Cricetulus griseus: one gene and its partners. The protein of the gene in region 1 purifies or fractionates together with the protein of each later gene. This does not show direct contact. Links are inferred from orthologs where the notes say so. Each region holds a gene or a part of one and is shown in the gene's direction. Other genes may lie near its edges. The genes, in order: melanoma-associated antigen 10, Foxj2, Qser1 and Fam216a.

Region 1 (2,740 bases):
CCTGACCATGGACCACATTTAAGTTGGACACCTTATGCCATCACCCCTAAATAGTTGTTATCAGTTGAAGGCACCTTCACTGTCTTCTGTTCTATTTCAGAGAGGTGAGCAGTTGTCCCAGGAGTTTGCCTCAGACTAGCAGATGGGTGGGGTCCAGGAGTTTGCCCTAGACCAACAGAAGGGTGGGTGGAGTCCAGGAGTTTTCCCCAGCCTAACAGATGAGAAGGGTCCAGGAGTTTGCCTCAGGCCAGCAGATGGGTGGGGTCCAGGAGTTTACACCTTGCCACAGAAGAGAAGGGCCCACGGATTTGCCTCAGGCCATCAGATGGGTGGGACCCAGGAGTTTGCCTCAGGCTGGCAGGTGAGAAGGGTCCAGGAGTTTGCCTCAGGCCAGCAGATTAGTGGGGTCCAGGAGTTTACACCTGGTCAACAGATGAGAAGGCCCAGGGGTTTGCCTCAGGCCAGCAGATGGGTGGAGTCCAGGAGTTTGCCTCAGGCTAGCAGATGAGAAGGGTCCAGGAGTTTGCCTCAGGCCAGCAGATTAGTGGGGTCCAGGAGTTTACACCTGGTCAACAGATGAAAAGGGCCTAGGGGTTTGCCTCAGACCAGCAGATGGGTGGGTTCCAGTCCCTGACAGGAGACAAGGGAGAATCCAGAGTGAGCACAGAGAGAACCATACACTTAAGAGCGGGGTAGCTCTTTACAGTTCAGTTCAGGCTCCTGTCAGGAATGGGGATCCAGTACGGGCTTTGCAGTCTATGGCTGTGTGGCACCTCATCCTCTCTCATAGAAACTGGGATATGAGGGTCTTGGTTTGAGATGGTTTTCTGGGATCAGACACTGGGGAAGGCCCAGGCAGGGTCTGGGGCAAAGCTGAGGCACACACTGTGAATATGTACCACAAACACAGCAGTCTCAGTCTGCTTAGCCCCATACAAGCTTCTGGCAAATCTGAAGCCTCTACTCTGGCCCAGTTGCATTCTGAGGAAACTTGTCGCTATCCCCCTCAGTCTCTCAAGAGACAGATTTGACAGGGAGATGGGAATCCTTGTGATTTTAGAGCATCACACAAGAGAAAGCCTGTTACTGGCTTTTGTGAGCACTTCCAGTTGGGTGACTGGCAACAACTTCCACTTTCTTCTTCTTCCCCTAGGTCTCTGGGTCTACATCATTGTGCATCTGCCTTGTGTTCAAGACTAGAGTCATCATGCCTAGACCTTGCAAGCGTAGGCGATGTATGGCTGAGGGCGAGCTTGAGGCCCAAAGTGAGCCACAGGACCTAATGAGTGCTCCAGTTTCAATAGAGGAAGTAGATTCCTCATCCTCTTCTACTTGCTCCTCCTCTTTCCCCTCGTCTTTCTCTTCTTCCTCTTCTTCCTATGCTCTAACATCCAGCACCTCAGAGGAAGGGTTTGTTGCTTCCAGGACATCAAGTCCTTCTCATAGTCCTCCAGGAGCATGCTCCTCCTGCACTGCCATGATCTCCTCTCCATGTAGCCAATTCAGTGCAGCCTCTGAACCTGAGGAGGGTTCAGGTTCCTCAGAGGTCATGCCTTGTGCTGCTTCATTGTCTAAAGGTGAGATAGATGTAAAAGTAGATGAGTTGGTAAAGTATCTGCTCTTTAAGTATCTAATGAAGGAGCCAGTCACCAAGGCAGAAATGCTCAGTAATATCATTAGAAATTATCAGGACCACTTCCCCTTGATATTTAGAGAAGCCTCAGAGTGCATGCAGTTAGTCTTTGGCATTGACATGAAGGAAGTACAGCCTGCTGGCCACACTTATATCCTTGTTACATCCCTAGAGCTCACCTATGATGGGATGATGACTGATGTCCAGGGCATACCCAAGACAGGCCTCCTGATAATGGTCCTGAGCATAATATTTATGGAAGGCAACTGTATCAGTGAGGACATGGTGTGGGGTGTGTTGAATAACATAGGCTTGTATGCTGGGAATGAACACTTCATATATGGGGAACCCAGGAAGCTCATCACTGATGATTTTGTACAAGAAGGATACCTGGAGTATAGGCAAGTATCTGGCAGCCATCCTCCTTCCTATGAGTTTCTCTGGGGCCCACGAGCCTATGCTGAAACCACTAAGATGAAAATCCTGACATTTCTGACCAACATCAATGGAAGTGACCCCAGATCATATCCAGTGTGGTATGCAGAGGCTTTAAGAGATGAGGAAGAGCGAGCCTAGGCAAGCAAAGCCTGGCACATGATATGACTGCCCTGACCAGCACATATTCTAGTGCTCTAGCAGTTTACAACTCAGATAAGGTCAGGTCAAGTCAGTGATCTAAGCAGTGGACCCTCATTCTAGAGCTGGTGGTTGTATAGTTAAATTATCCCACTTTTACTGTTCTGTTGGGTGACTCAGGGATTTTTCCTCTTGGTACTTTAAAATGTTGCTACGTTTGCTAGAAAGCTCGTTAGGCTGAAAATTTAAACTTCCAGGTTGTATTAGTCATGCACTTACTGCTGTTTATCCATGTTTAAAAAGTGTTGTTATTTTGTAAAACAAGTTGGGATACTTTCCATCTAATCTGTAATCTGTCACAAAACACCATAGTAGTGCAATTGGTATTTCTTAGGCTATGGAAAATAACTTACAGAATAGAATAAAACTGTTATTTTTATCACCTTTTGGTTGTTAGTCTCTTATTCTGGTTAACTAATTAAATTCTAACTTAAAATACAGTCAACGGGCTCCAATGCTCCAAACTTTCAT
Region 2 (4,313 bases), on another chromosome or scaffold:
TCTACCAACTGAGCTATAACTGTAGCCTCCTCTTTCCTTTTTAAAGACAGGGTCTCATAAGGTAGTCTAGTTGGCCTTGAATTCCAGAGCCTCCCCTGTGATCACAGGGAGTGGCCCATGCTTGAGGAACTGCATCTTTAAACTGGACATTGGAAGCGTGGGGAGGGAAACAGCTTCGTTGGACTTCACTCCTGGCAATTTGAGATTGGCTTATGCTTTCACAGTTCAAGCCAATGATATACTAGGGATTCTGAGGCCATTTGGATTTGACACCTGTCTTAAAATAGTACTACTAATTATGTCATGGTGTGAATTATGTGAACTGGGACACAGACAACATCTTCAAGCCATACTTATATTCTAGAAGGTGCAATAACAGTGCTGTATGGAATTGCTAGAAGAATCAAGCGTGACAACACATGGAGAGTGCAAAGGTTAATGCCTACACATTGCATGTGTAATGTAATTGTATGTACATAGAACTTAACTACGGTAGCATGTATTTAGCCATTTAGCCATGACATTACTATCTAAAGGTAGTTATCAAACTGTAATCTTTTTGAGCAATTCGAGTATCAAATGAATAATTTTTTGCCTTTATCATTTTATGTGAGAACACAGTTGGAGAAGAGTAACTCAGAGGGTTTGTACTTGAAAGGCGTTGACTGGGGGTAGAAGTGGAGATGGGCTGCCCTGGTGGTATTTCCTGCCAGGGGATGGAGATTAATCTGTACCGGAGTAGAGGGATGTGCTGAGAGCATTCCATCCCTCTAGTGGCACTCACAATAAGGTGTTCTATAGAGATGTCACTTGATTTTAGCACAAAGGTCAAAAACGATATTTTAAAAGGCATGTCAAGGGAAAGGGAAATTAATAATCATACTTCCGCACCCCTTGCATACTGTACGGCGTTAAAGAGCGTCTCCACACAAGTCGTTTCCTTTGGTGACTGCGACATCCATATTAGTAGGCAGGCCAGAGTATCCAATTCCCCTCTTGGATGACTGTGACTCCAGAAACAAGGGCCTTGCACAAATTTATGGAGCCAGAACTACCACAAGACACCATCTCCGACGTTTATTTCTCTATGACAAGCTCATCTCTCCTTTTATGCATCTTCTGATCCAAGAAGCAGTCACTGACCTCCAAGATAAGAGTAAACTTTAACTTCACGGCAGTCTCCATAACCCTTTATAAGCTGTCTGGAGGAGAAAGAGAGAAGCCATCAAATACGTTTCTGAGAAAACTGGCAATGCTCGTCTAGGAGGAGACCGCAGCACAATGAGAGATCTGCGTGGCCATTAGCGTGGACACTGGCACCGCTAGTGCCCGGGAGCCGAGGGCCGGCGACCGGCGGGCTGCGGGGATCCGCGCTCCTCCTTAACCCGCGCCGGGAGGCGGTGGCCGCGGCGGCGGGAGGGGGAGGGGCGCGGAGCGCGGCGCCGAGGCCGGGGAGGAGCCGGGGCCTGCAGCGGAGCCGAGCCGAGCCCGAGCCGAGCCCCGACGCGCTCCGTCCGCCTGCCGGCTCCCGGGAACCCCGACCGGCCAGAGCCTCGGTGGTGGCAGCGCGGGGAGCCCCACGCTCGGGGAAGCGCGGCGGACGAGGGACGCGACGGGGGAGGCGCTGCCGCCCGGCAGCGGGTGACGGGAGCCGGGACCGCGGCCTCCGGGACCCTGCTGCCCAGGCCGGCCGGGCGGGAGCGGGAGTGCGTGGACCCCACCCTCGGGGCACCGGGCGCCGGGACCTGCTCCCTCTCCCGTGGGAGGGAGGACTCTCGGCATTCCCGGGACGGCCAGAGGAGATCGCCGCAGGGCGCGCGCTGTCCCTCCCACGCCGGCTCCGGAGGAGACCCCCAGAAGTCGGGAAGGGTCGTGGGACCTGGAGGACCCGGAGTGAGACCGCCCCCACTCCTCAGCGCACTCCAGACAGTTCGGGACTTTGGAGGCAAAGAGAAAAGGGAGCCATGTCTGTGGAGTAGGCACCCAGCACTCACCGCCGAGAGGCGTCCTGACACGCACAAGCCCGGACCCTCCAGGGAACCCGCGGCAATCGGCTCCAGCTTGCTGGAGAGTGGAAGACCTCGTCCCTCAACTTCCGTGCGCCTCAACAGTGGACCCGGGCAGAGCCCCTCCGCTCAGATCTCCAGCAGACAGAAAGAGCCCTCAACCCCTGGAAGATCCAGTTTGGGGGGAGGGGGGTTCCCCCAAAGGGGAGGAGACAACTCCTGGCTGGGAGAGGCTCCTCCCCTCATCCCTAGGGTAGCAGGCAGGGTGTGGGGGGTGTGCCACCTTCCCCAGGTAGGTCCTCCCTCTCCCCCTCCTCCTCCTTCGGCTCCTCTTCCTCGGGGGACTCAGTTCCCCGCTCCGGCTAGGGAGGCTCCGCCAGGCACTGCAAGAGTCACAGAGGATGAGACCTGTCACCTGCCTGTGAAGAGGGGAATCCCTGCAACCTCAAACTTCTGTAGCAGGTGGTTTCCTCCTGTGGCTGGGGGAACCTTAGAGGCAGGTTAGTGCTTTCGTGCATTTTCTCTCTGTGGTCTTTAGGCACCAGTAGGTACGGGGAGCTGAAATGGTGGATCTTGGGGTTCATTCCTGTGGAAGGTAGCGTCCCCTGGGAAATGTGTTCAGATGGCGCTTTTGCATTGGAAGCCGCATGTTGTTGCAGAGACTCAGAGAAACGGGCTTTTTAGATTTCGGAGACCAAAGGGATGGGTCATTTGCTGTCCCTAAGAGAAGTGGATGCTCTGTACTGAGAACAGACAACAGGTGCGTTTTTTCTGGACGCCATGGTTACTGTTAGTAATGCAGGACACAGCACAGCCAGAATCCCACAGCACACTCCATCCCTGGGTCTTGTCCTCTGGTGAGTGGACCTGCTGGAAAGTGATGGGGGCACCTTGTGTCTTGTCTAGGGCATGCTCTAAGTCAGCAGAGCATGCCTAAGTCAGTGTAATGGCCAGCAGAGGTCTTCCTTCCAGTCTAGCACAGTGACTATTTGCCTGACTGTCAATCTGTCCCCACCCACTCTCTCTATCTTGGATACCAGGAGGCCCTTCTGACATCCCTGCTTCAGGCTGGATTTCTGCCATCCAAAGGGAAACGGGAATCCACATGCCCTGAGGTGACTAGGGTAGTGCACACTGGTGGGCGGAAGTCTTCCCAGATACTGGTTGTGTCATTAGCTGACAGTTCCTCAGAAAAATCAGATTGTGGCTAGGAGGCAGAGTGTTTCCTAGGTTCCCTCCACACCTCATCTGCATGAGTTGACCACCAGGGAGGTCTGACCTCTGCAGAATTCTTTTTAGACTTTCCTTCCAGGAAAACATCGACTGGTCTCTTCATCACTCTTCCTGTTCTCTTGCTTAGTTCTGGGTCACAGGAACTTCGTGGTGAAAATTTTCATCCTAATCTTGGGGAATCATCAAAAATCTAGAATCTTTAGAAAAAGCAGGACAAAAGGCACCAAGAAATTTTCCTGGTTGAGCCTAGGCTGTATCTGTAGCGGAGCTCTGAGTTTTCACACGTGGTCACTACCTGCACGCCTTCTCTCTGGTCTGGTCGTTGGACCATGCCTCGTGTTCTGTATGGGGCTTCCTCCCCTTGGATTTTCAGTGTCTGCCTCCCTAGATGGGCCGTGGGCAGACTGCCGGAGTCTCTGTTGGTCCATTGGATCCTGGAGGTTTCTGTAGTGGTGGTGTGTCAAAAAACGGAGTTGTAGTCCACAGGTCCGATGGCTGTGCTGTAGAATGATGTACACGGCTCTCAATGGAGATGGAGATTGTTAGGTGTCTGTGTTTTGAGCATGTACATGGAGATGTTTCCAGAGTGTGCTCTCTGATCCCTTAGAGTCATTTCTGGCAGGCATGTAGAAGCAGGTCACCCTCTGCAAGGACCTAGAAGACGTGAGGGTGCAGATGACCAGCTGCCAGGAAAGCTTAGTGGTCCCCTCCACCGCCAGTGGGAATTCTCATGGCCCCCTCCTGGCAATCATATCTGGCAGCAGGACAGCCCTTTCACAGGTTGGGTCTGTTTCTCTCGGGACTGGTAGGAGAGCTTCATCATGGATACCTCCAGTGCCACTTTACTTTTGTGTCTAGAATTGCCTCTCCCACTTTTGAAAAAGAGATGTCTCTGGCGTAGCAGTGTTTCTTTTTCTTTTCTTTTTTTCTTTTTGGATTTTTTGAGACAGGGTTTCACTGTGGCTTTGGAGCCTATCCTGGCACTCGCTCTGGAGACCAGGCTGGCCTCAAACTCACAGAGATCTGCCTGTCTCTGCCTCCCGAGTGCTGGGATTAAAGGCGTGCGCCACCAAT
Region 3 (3,566 bases), on another chromosome or scaffold:
CCCTGTTACATTTAGACCTAAGAAAAGATTTTGTTTGTTCTTTAAATATACTCTTTTCAGGTTCACAATACCTGTTTATAGAAACTGAGAACAGTGAAAGTTAAATTACATTCTGACCCATAAGTGTAACAGCAGCACTTTTAACCCTTAATGCATAATAATTCTTGCTGCTGCTAACTAAATCTAATTTTAAAAAGCTGTAATCAGAGTCATTATAGTTGTCTTCAGGAATCATTGTGCTATTGTGTGCAGCTTCTCAGTTCACAATGCCTTTCTAAGCAGGTAAGGGCATAAAAGTCAGTGGGTTTTGAAGACTAGACTGGGAATGCATCTGCCATGTGGCTACTGTGTCATCAGTAGCAGCTCCTTTTTTTGGTCAGAACCATCAAACTCTGCTTCAGGATTTTTTTTTTTTTTTTTTTTTTTTTTTTTTTTTTTTTTTTTTTTTTTTTTTTTTTTTTTTTCTGTGCAGTCCAAGGAAGCCAAAGGAGTGCTGCAGAAAACAACAATTCTTCTTACTATCTTTTGTCCCCATCTTCATTTAGAGTCTGATGACCTCCCTGTAGCTGGTTTACCTCTGGTTCAGGGTATTAGTAAGGGTGGGAGAGGTATTTTAAGAAATGCATATATCCCTATTTTCCCTATTTTGAAATCAAAGGGACATTTCTAGTAATAACTTAGGATTCCTTCCGTGTGGAATGCTCAATAAATCAGGCCAGATTCAAAGAATGGGAAACATAACCCGCACTCTGTGGGAGAAGGTTCAAAGATTTCTAACTACATCCCATTGTGACCATCTGCATGCGTGCATGCGTGCGTGCATATTTGTGTGTATATAAATTTTGAATGGCTGGAAATTCCAGTTTTCTGATGTCAGTTGTTATCCTTCATTATTTTAAAGAATGCTTTGGAAAGTTTTCCTGAACTAACAATTATTACTCGAGACTCTAAAGCAAAAAGTGGAGGATCTGCTATTTCTAAAATAAAAATGAATGGCAAAACTTATAATAAGAAAACTCTAAGGACTTCTAAAACAACCACTAAGTCTGCACAGGTAAGTACATATTGCTTAATGAATGTAAACCTTTTCCAGTTAACACAGCTCCCAAGACACCATTGAAATAAGCCTATTGTAATCGTGAAGTGTCATCTTTGGGGTGGAATAAGCAGCTGTGCTCTGAGGATGGGACATTCTTGTTATTTCTTCTATGTATGCATTGAACTGTACCTGGTAATAGTGAGTGCACACTGAATATATAAAATAAACTAATAAGGGAATCATCCGATGTTTAAGTTTATACATTTGCATATAGTTTTAAAACTTTTTAATTCATTAAAAATATTTATGTGTCGCCAGGGGTGGTGGTGAACGCCTTTAATCCCAGCACTCAGGAGGCAGAGCCAGGCAGGGGCAACAAAGTGAGTTCCAGGACTATTACACAGAGAAAACCTGTCTGGGGGTGGGGGAGGTGTTCTGTGTGACATGTTTTGGAGCATATTGTGGTAAAACGAGAAAATTCATCATTTTGTACCTGTTCAAAGTTACCTGTACATGGTTTAGAAACACATGTTTTAGTGTGTGTAAACACTAAATCATAAGATTGAATATTGATATATCTGTAAAGTCACTAAAATGACATCTGTTTATGTCTACAATATACTACACACTTTTCAGAAAATAGTTCTGCATTATAACAGTTTCACATCAAAAAATGTATTCAGTAATTCAGACCTGATGGTGCATACCTGATTCCTAGCACTTGGCAGGTGGGAGGCAGAAGGATCAGAAGTTTGAGGACAACCTGGGTTATATGAGACCCTATCTCAAAGAAAAAGGGTATTTTCTGTAGAAATACATTCATGAACACAAAGAGTTTCCACAGCTACTGGTCTGCAACTGTTCTTACAGTAGCAGTTGTAGCATTCCTCTGTGGGAAAGAAACTTACACAATTTAATTCCTCTTTCTTACCAGACAGAAAGAAGAATATGCGTGACAGACACAAAGTTAAAACACACACACACACACACACACACACACACACACACACACACACTATATATAGTTATTGCAAAGTAGTTTACAAGAACCAGTTTGCAGTGTCATACACCTTTAATCCCAGAGAGAGGCAATGGAAATGCTGTGAGTTCTAAGACAGCCAGGACCCTGTCTTCAAAACAAAACAAAACTGGTATGTTTGTTGGTTTGGGGGTGGTTTTTTGTTTTTTTACTTGCTGTATAAACCAGGCTGGCTTTAAACTCATAGATGCACCTGCTTCTGGAGTGCTAGGATTAAAATAATATGCATGATGCTTGGTTTAAAAGAAGACCCATTGATTGTCTACCAGACAACTACAGCAAAACACTTTGTATATTTATACTGACAAAAGCAATTCTAAGTAGTAGGGGACTGCAGAGAGGTGGCTTAGCCACACCTATATACATAATCTAAAGTAATAAATAACTAGGGGTACCATAGTAAAAGCTAGCCAAAAATCCATATGTTCCTATATTTTTTATTAGGGGGATAAAGATGGAATGATATACATATAATAAATCCAAAGTTATCCAAGTTGTATGCTGATTAAAAAAATATATGTTGGAACTTTCGTGGAGTGGATGTTGTAGGTCAACTTTTATTGGGTGATTCCTTGTCAGAAAATTAATGTTCCTGTTTTGAAAGAAAGGAAGAAATAAAGAGAAAATTAATGTTACTTAAATATTCAAGCCTAGCCTAGGGGAAGAGCATGAAAGACTATGTAACATGCCACCAGCCACATTTATCTCTGAAGCCATATTAGAATCTGTTAGTCTGCATCTGGAATGCTAGTTCCTGGTTACAATTACATGCAGTACTTGGGAAGCAGATGGCAAGAGGATGAGGGGTTCAAGGCCAGACTCAGCCACATGGGCTCAGTTTTAAGAATGAGGTGCACTAGGGAGGGAGAGGCAGGTGGATCTGAGTCTCAGGCCAGCCAGAGCTGCAGAGTAAGATCCTGCCTCAAAACAAAACAACAACAACAAAAAGGCTTTTATTCTTTTGTTATCTTACATGCTTTTTATTTTGATTTCTCTATAATGCTAGTTTTTCAAGTAACAGGTACTCATAACTTAATAAAAGATTTATCATGATGATTTTAAATATAATTTATATTTAAGCTCCCATGTATATTAATACAGCATCATACCTAGCCATATAAGACATTTTCCAGGTTGTAATTCACTATGGATCTAATATTTTTTAGCTCTAACATTACATGAATGTTACCTGTAAATTTCTTTCTTTTTTAGGAATTTGCTGTTGATCCAGAGAAAATACAATTATATTCATTATACCATTCACTCCATCATTATAAATACCATGTTTATCTAATATGTAAGAATGAGGTAATTCCTTTTATTTATTTAAAATGACATAACATGTTTTTCTGTTTGTGTTTTGGTTTGGTTTTTTTTGTTTATTCAAGACATGTTTTCTTTGTGTAGCCCTGGCTGTTCTGGAACTCACTCTGTAGACCAAGCTGGCATAAGACTCAGAGATCTGCCTGCCTCTGCCTCTGCCTCCTG
Region 4 (4,017 bases), on another chromosome or scaffold:
GGTGTGTGACAGAGGGCCTGTACCGAAATGAGTCAAAAACGGACTCAAATTCTGGCCAGAACCGTATGACTTTGAAAAGTTATCCTTTCTGTAGAATGAGTATAGGTTTAAGCTAGGGAGTGGTTATGAAAACACTTGGGACGGCCAGAGCAGTTCCTGGAGCAAAAGTATCCTATTAATATTATTATTTTCAGGCCGGGCGGTTGTGGCGAACGCCTTTAATACCAGCAGAGGCAGAGGCAGGTGGATCTCTGTGAGTTCGAGGCCAGACTGGTCTACAGAATGAGTTCCAGGACACGTTCCAAAGATACACAGAGAAACCCTGTCTCGAAAAAGCTAAGAAAACAAAGTGTGTTGTGTGGGTTCCTGCACGTGAATGCACTGTTCGTGGAGGCCTGGGGCTGGAGTTACAGCTCTGTGTGTGTGCTGGGACCCGAACTCCAGTTCCCTGGAAGAGCACAAGATCTTAAGCGCTCAGCCACCTCTCCTGTCCCCCCAGTAATTAGTAAAGCTGCCTTTACTCCTCCAACAAAAACAAGGAACAAGCAGAGAGCGGAAGCGAATTACCCAGGGCTCCCGGGAGCCCCGACGCCCACGAACCGCAGCTCCTCGAGCCTCACCTTCCCGCTGCCCGCGGGGCCCATAACTAGCTGCGCATACCGAGGCATACCGGCTCTCCGCCTTCCCCCGGCCGCCGGCGCTCACACTCCCTTCAGCCTTCGCGCGAGCTCCCCTGAGCTCCGGGGACAAGGGTACCAGCCAATCGCGACCCAGATCACTGTTTCGTCCCTGGTATTTACGCCTACGACTACGGAGCGTCCCAAGAGCCAAAATTTCTGAGAAATGTGACCTGACGGAAAAGAGGAGGTGGAGACGCGGCTTCACGCGTGCGCAGAGAGAGCTGCGGGCCGTTGTCAGTTGGCCCACAGGCGAGGCTGGTTGCCTAGGTGACAACGAATCGCAGTAACGCTCAGCTCCTTCAGGCCGGTGCCCTGGTTCTTGGGTTTGACTCCTAGGGTGACATCCTAAGACTTGCAGATCCACCGAGGGTCTGGAATACTGAGGTGGGAGACACCTTTTGCTTTAAGGGAGAGCACGCGCACGCGTGTGCATGTGTATGTGAGTGTGAGTGTGTGTGCGTGCGTGAGTGTATGTGTGTGCGTGTGTGTGTGTGAGTGTGTGTATGTGTGTGTGTGTGTATGTGTGGCCTTGCCCTGACACGTCCCTGTCACGGAGATTTGCCAAGGCGTAAAAGCCTGGTCACCTGAGGCCTCCTCCTCCTCCTCCTCGTCCTCCTCCCCCCCGGGTCTAGCACCAGGGTCTCGGGTCGCCTTCGGCACCGTCCCGAAGCCGCTCGGGCAGGGTCGGAGGGTAGAGCCGGAGGCCGCGGCGGCCTCACAGCGGGCGTGGCGCGCGCGTGCCGACGGGATGCCGAGCCGTTGTCCCGGGGTCGCAGAGCTGCCTGCATTGGTCAGGACCGAAGGCTGCGACGGGTGAGGCCCGGGAAGCCCCGCTGAGGAGTCGAGAGAGAGAGAGAGGGAGAGAGAGAGAGAGAGAGAGAGAGAGAGAGAGAGAGAGAGAGAGAGAGAGAGAGAGAGAGAGAGAGAGAGACAGAGACAGAGACAGAGAGAGAGAGAGAGAGAGAGAGAGACAGAGAGAGAGACAGAGAGAGAGAGAGAGAGAGAGAGAGAGAGAGAGAGAGAGAGAGAGAGACAGAGAGGAGGGGGCGGGTGAGGCCGCGAGGTCAAGGGCTGACGAGGCGGCCTCGGAGCAGGACAGCAGCACTGTCACCTGCTCTCGCTCTCAGCGCCCCCGGAGAGGGTCCTGCGAACCCAGTAGGGAGCCGAGGACCCAGCCCCCACTCCCACCCCCAACCCCTAGTCCCACAACCCCCGCCACTAAGCCAGTCCCTGCGACATTGGCCGCCTCTTTATCGGATGGGGCTATGGGCCAGGAAGGCCTTGATCATGACTTGCTTGACGGGTAGGTTTCTTGAGACACACTCCCATAGCTCAGGCTGGCCTTGAACTACCCGTCCTCCTGTTCCACTTCGGAGTGCTGAGATAGATGTCTGGTGTGGACTATTACTCCTGACTAGGCGGGTTTTAACTATTTCCTGGATGGTGAGGACAGTAGACTTGTAATGTCACGGCTAGAGGCCATGCCCCTGTCGCACCCCTTGCTTCCTTAAAACCAAGAGGAGCAGAATTATTGCGGGGGGGGGGGACCCAGTTAGGTCCACAACCATGGCTCTTGCTAAATCCACGGCCATGAAATACATACTTATTTATGTTTATTATTATAATGTGTGTATATATATACATATATATGTACATTTTATTGTACTATAGTGCTAAGACTTCTTTAAGATGTGATGCCAGGTTCTTTCTTGTTCTTGACGATGCTTGGAGGTGTTCTGGTTCAATGAACTCAGTTACTGAGAAACTGCAGGAAGCAGTTAACTTTTTGAGAAAAGGAAAAAGAACTGATACAAGATGGGAAACATAACTGGTTAAACTTAACAGTTCCAGCACAAAATAATTACTCTTTTCAGTACTGAAATGATTAAAGAACAAGAAAGATATCCTGTGGATAGTACAGGAACCAAACTACTCATTTGGTATCGCTGTAACAATTAGACTAGGAAGCTATGAAAATGAGGCCAACTTTGACTAAATCATTTCTAGCAAAGTACAAATGGGACTGGCGATATGTATGGCTCAGTAGTAGAGTACTCGCCTAACTTCTGTGAGTCCTGGGTTCTGTCCCCTTGAAACACACTCACTCTTATCTTAGTATGATAAAAGTCTGACAGCTCACTGAGAGAAAGCTTAGCTGCATCCTTCTTGTAGCCAAATGGGAGAAAAGTTGCAAGACACTGATGACAACAGGACAAGTAAAGGGCATGTAAGCTGTCTGTCATTGTACATCCTATCTTCGATGTTCTTTTCTAACAGGTCAGCTGGACATTTTTATCACCAGAATTCCAAAGGCACTGGTGGACAGCATAAAGCAGGTAATGCATGTAGATGACAGACGTCACTAATTACACATGAAGTTGTAACAGTAGGCTCAAAGGGCTAGCAAGATGGACCACCTGTGTTCAGTTCCCCCAGAACCCACAGGGTAGCAGTGAACTGATTCTTCTGAGCTGTTCTCTGACTTTCATCACCCTTGCTCTTTCTCTCCCTGCCTCACACATACACAAATGTAAAACAGACTTCACTAGATTGAACATGGGGCTCTGTACACGCTAGACAGCTACTGAGCTGTAGCTCTAAAAAATTATTTAATATCCCCAGTAAATTTGAAACTCTTTTTAAGAGTTTCAAAGACCAGTTCTTTCTCTTTTGTTAATCTATAATTAGCATTGGTTGGAAATTGGGCATACCTGTCATGTACTCATGGACTGAAGGGGAAATCCTACACGAACAGCTTCAAAAACTATAGACTACTTTACAGGGAGCACTTTCGTTTGCTTTTTATTTCTCCAGACAGGGTTTCTCTGTGGCTTTGGAAGCTGTCCTTGGAACTAGCTCTTGTAGACCAGGCTGGTCTCAAACTCACAGAGATCCTCCTGCCTCTGCCTCCTGAGTACTGGAAGTAAAGGTGTGCGCCACCACCACCTGGCCACAGGGAGCACTTTCAAAATACCTCTTTTCAGATGATAAGAGAAAAACATCAGCATCCAAAGACCTCCTACTAATATAAGGAAGGGGAAAGGGTGGGGTACAGATGTTTACAAAGTGGAGTCACAAATAGGCTGGTAAATGGTAGTTTATTGGGGAAAAGTACTCACGCAAGGGAACCAGTGACCAGGTTTGCACCTGAGCAGGATGGACCCAGAAATGCTTACCAGTCAGCCCAGCCAGGTGTGGTCAGTAGTATCTCTAATCAGGATTTCTCCCTACAATTCCCCTTTTAGTCTAAAGAGGATTTAAACTTAACAATGTAAGTTATCTATAATTAACAATCATAAAGGTGAATGACGAGCTGGGCATTGGTGGCGCACACCTT

The links.
Region 2: the proteins of melanoma-associated antigen 10 (region 1) and Foxj2 purify together in Homo sapiens (affinity purification with mass spectrometry; 3 studies listed by BioGRID and IntAct, counting the BioPlex papers as one, with this or other methods). This does not show direct contact. The link is inferred for Cricetulus griseus from reciprocal best matches to the Homo sapiens genes MAGEA10 and FOXJ2.
Region 3: the proteins of melanoma-associated antigen 10 (region 1) and Qser1 purify together in Homo sapiens (affinity purification with mass spectrometry; 3 studies listed by BioGRID and IntAct, counting the BioPlex papers as one, with this or other methods). This does not show direct contact. The link is inferred for Cricetulus griseus from reciprocal best matches to the Homo sapiens genes MAGEA10 and QSER1.
Region 4: the proteins of melanoma-associated antigen 10 (region 1) and Fam216a purify together in Homo sapiens (affinity purification with mass spectrometry; 3 studies listed by BioGRID and IntAct, counting the BioPlex papers as one, with this or other methods). This does not show direct contact. The link is inferred for Cricetulus griseus from reciprocal best matches to the Homo sapiens genes MAGEA10 and FAM216A.

What each region holds. Positions count from the first base shown.
Region 1 is NC_048604.1:3,529,582-3,532,321, reverse strand, and holds melanoma-associated antigen 10, read left to right. Parts: upstream 1-1,207; coding exon 1,208-2,209; downstream 2,210-2,740. UniProt on the Homo sapiens protein: Not known, though may play a role in embryonal development and tumor transformation or aspects of tumor progression.
Region 2 is NC_048601.1:22,239,712-22,244,024, forward strand, and holds the start of Foxj2 (forkhead box protein J2), read left to right. Parts: upstream 1-1,492; 5' UTR 1,493-2,506; intron 2,507-2,665; 5' UTR 2,666-2,766; intron 2,767-3,046; 5' UTR 3,047-3,121; intron 3,122-4,313.
Region 3 is NC_048599.1:72,904,965-72,908,530, forward strand, and holds part of Qser1 (glutamine and serine-rich protein 1), read left to right. Parts: intron 1-901; coding exon 902-1,054; intron 1,055-1,875; exon of another isoform or gene 1,876-2,004; intron 2,005-3,290; coding exon 3,291-3,386; intron 3,387-3,566. UniProt on the Homo sapiens protein: Plays an essential role in the protection and maintenance of transcriptional and developmental programs.
Region 4 is NC_048597.1:102,210,103-102,214,119, reverse strand, and holds the start of Fam216a (protein FAM216A), read left to right. Parts: upstream 1-1,151; 5' UTR 1,152-1,428; coding exon 1,429-1,493; intron 1,494-1,860; exon of another isoform or gene 1,861-1,945; coding exon of another isoform or gene 1,946-1,983; intron 1,984-2,957; coding exon 2,958-3,016; intron 3,017-4,017. Other genes in the region: Gpn3 (GPN-loop GTPase 3), read right to left, coding at 621-668.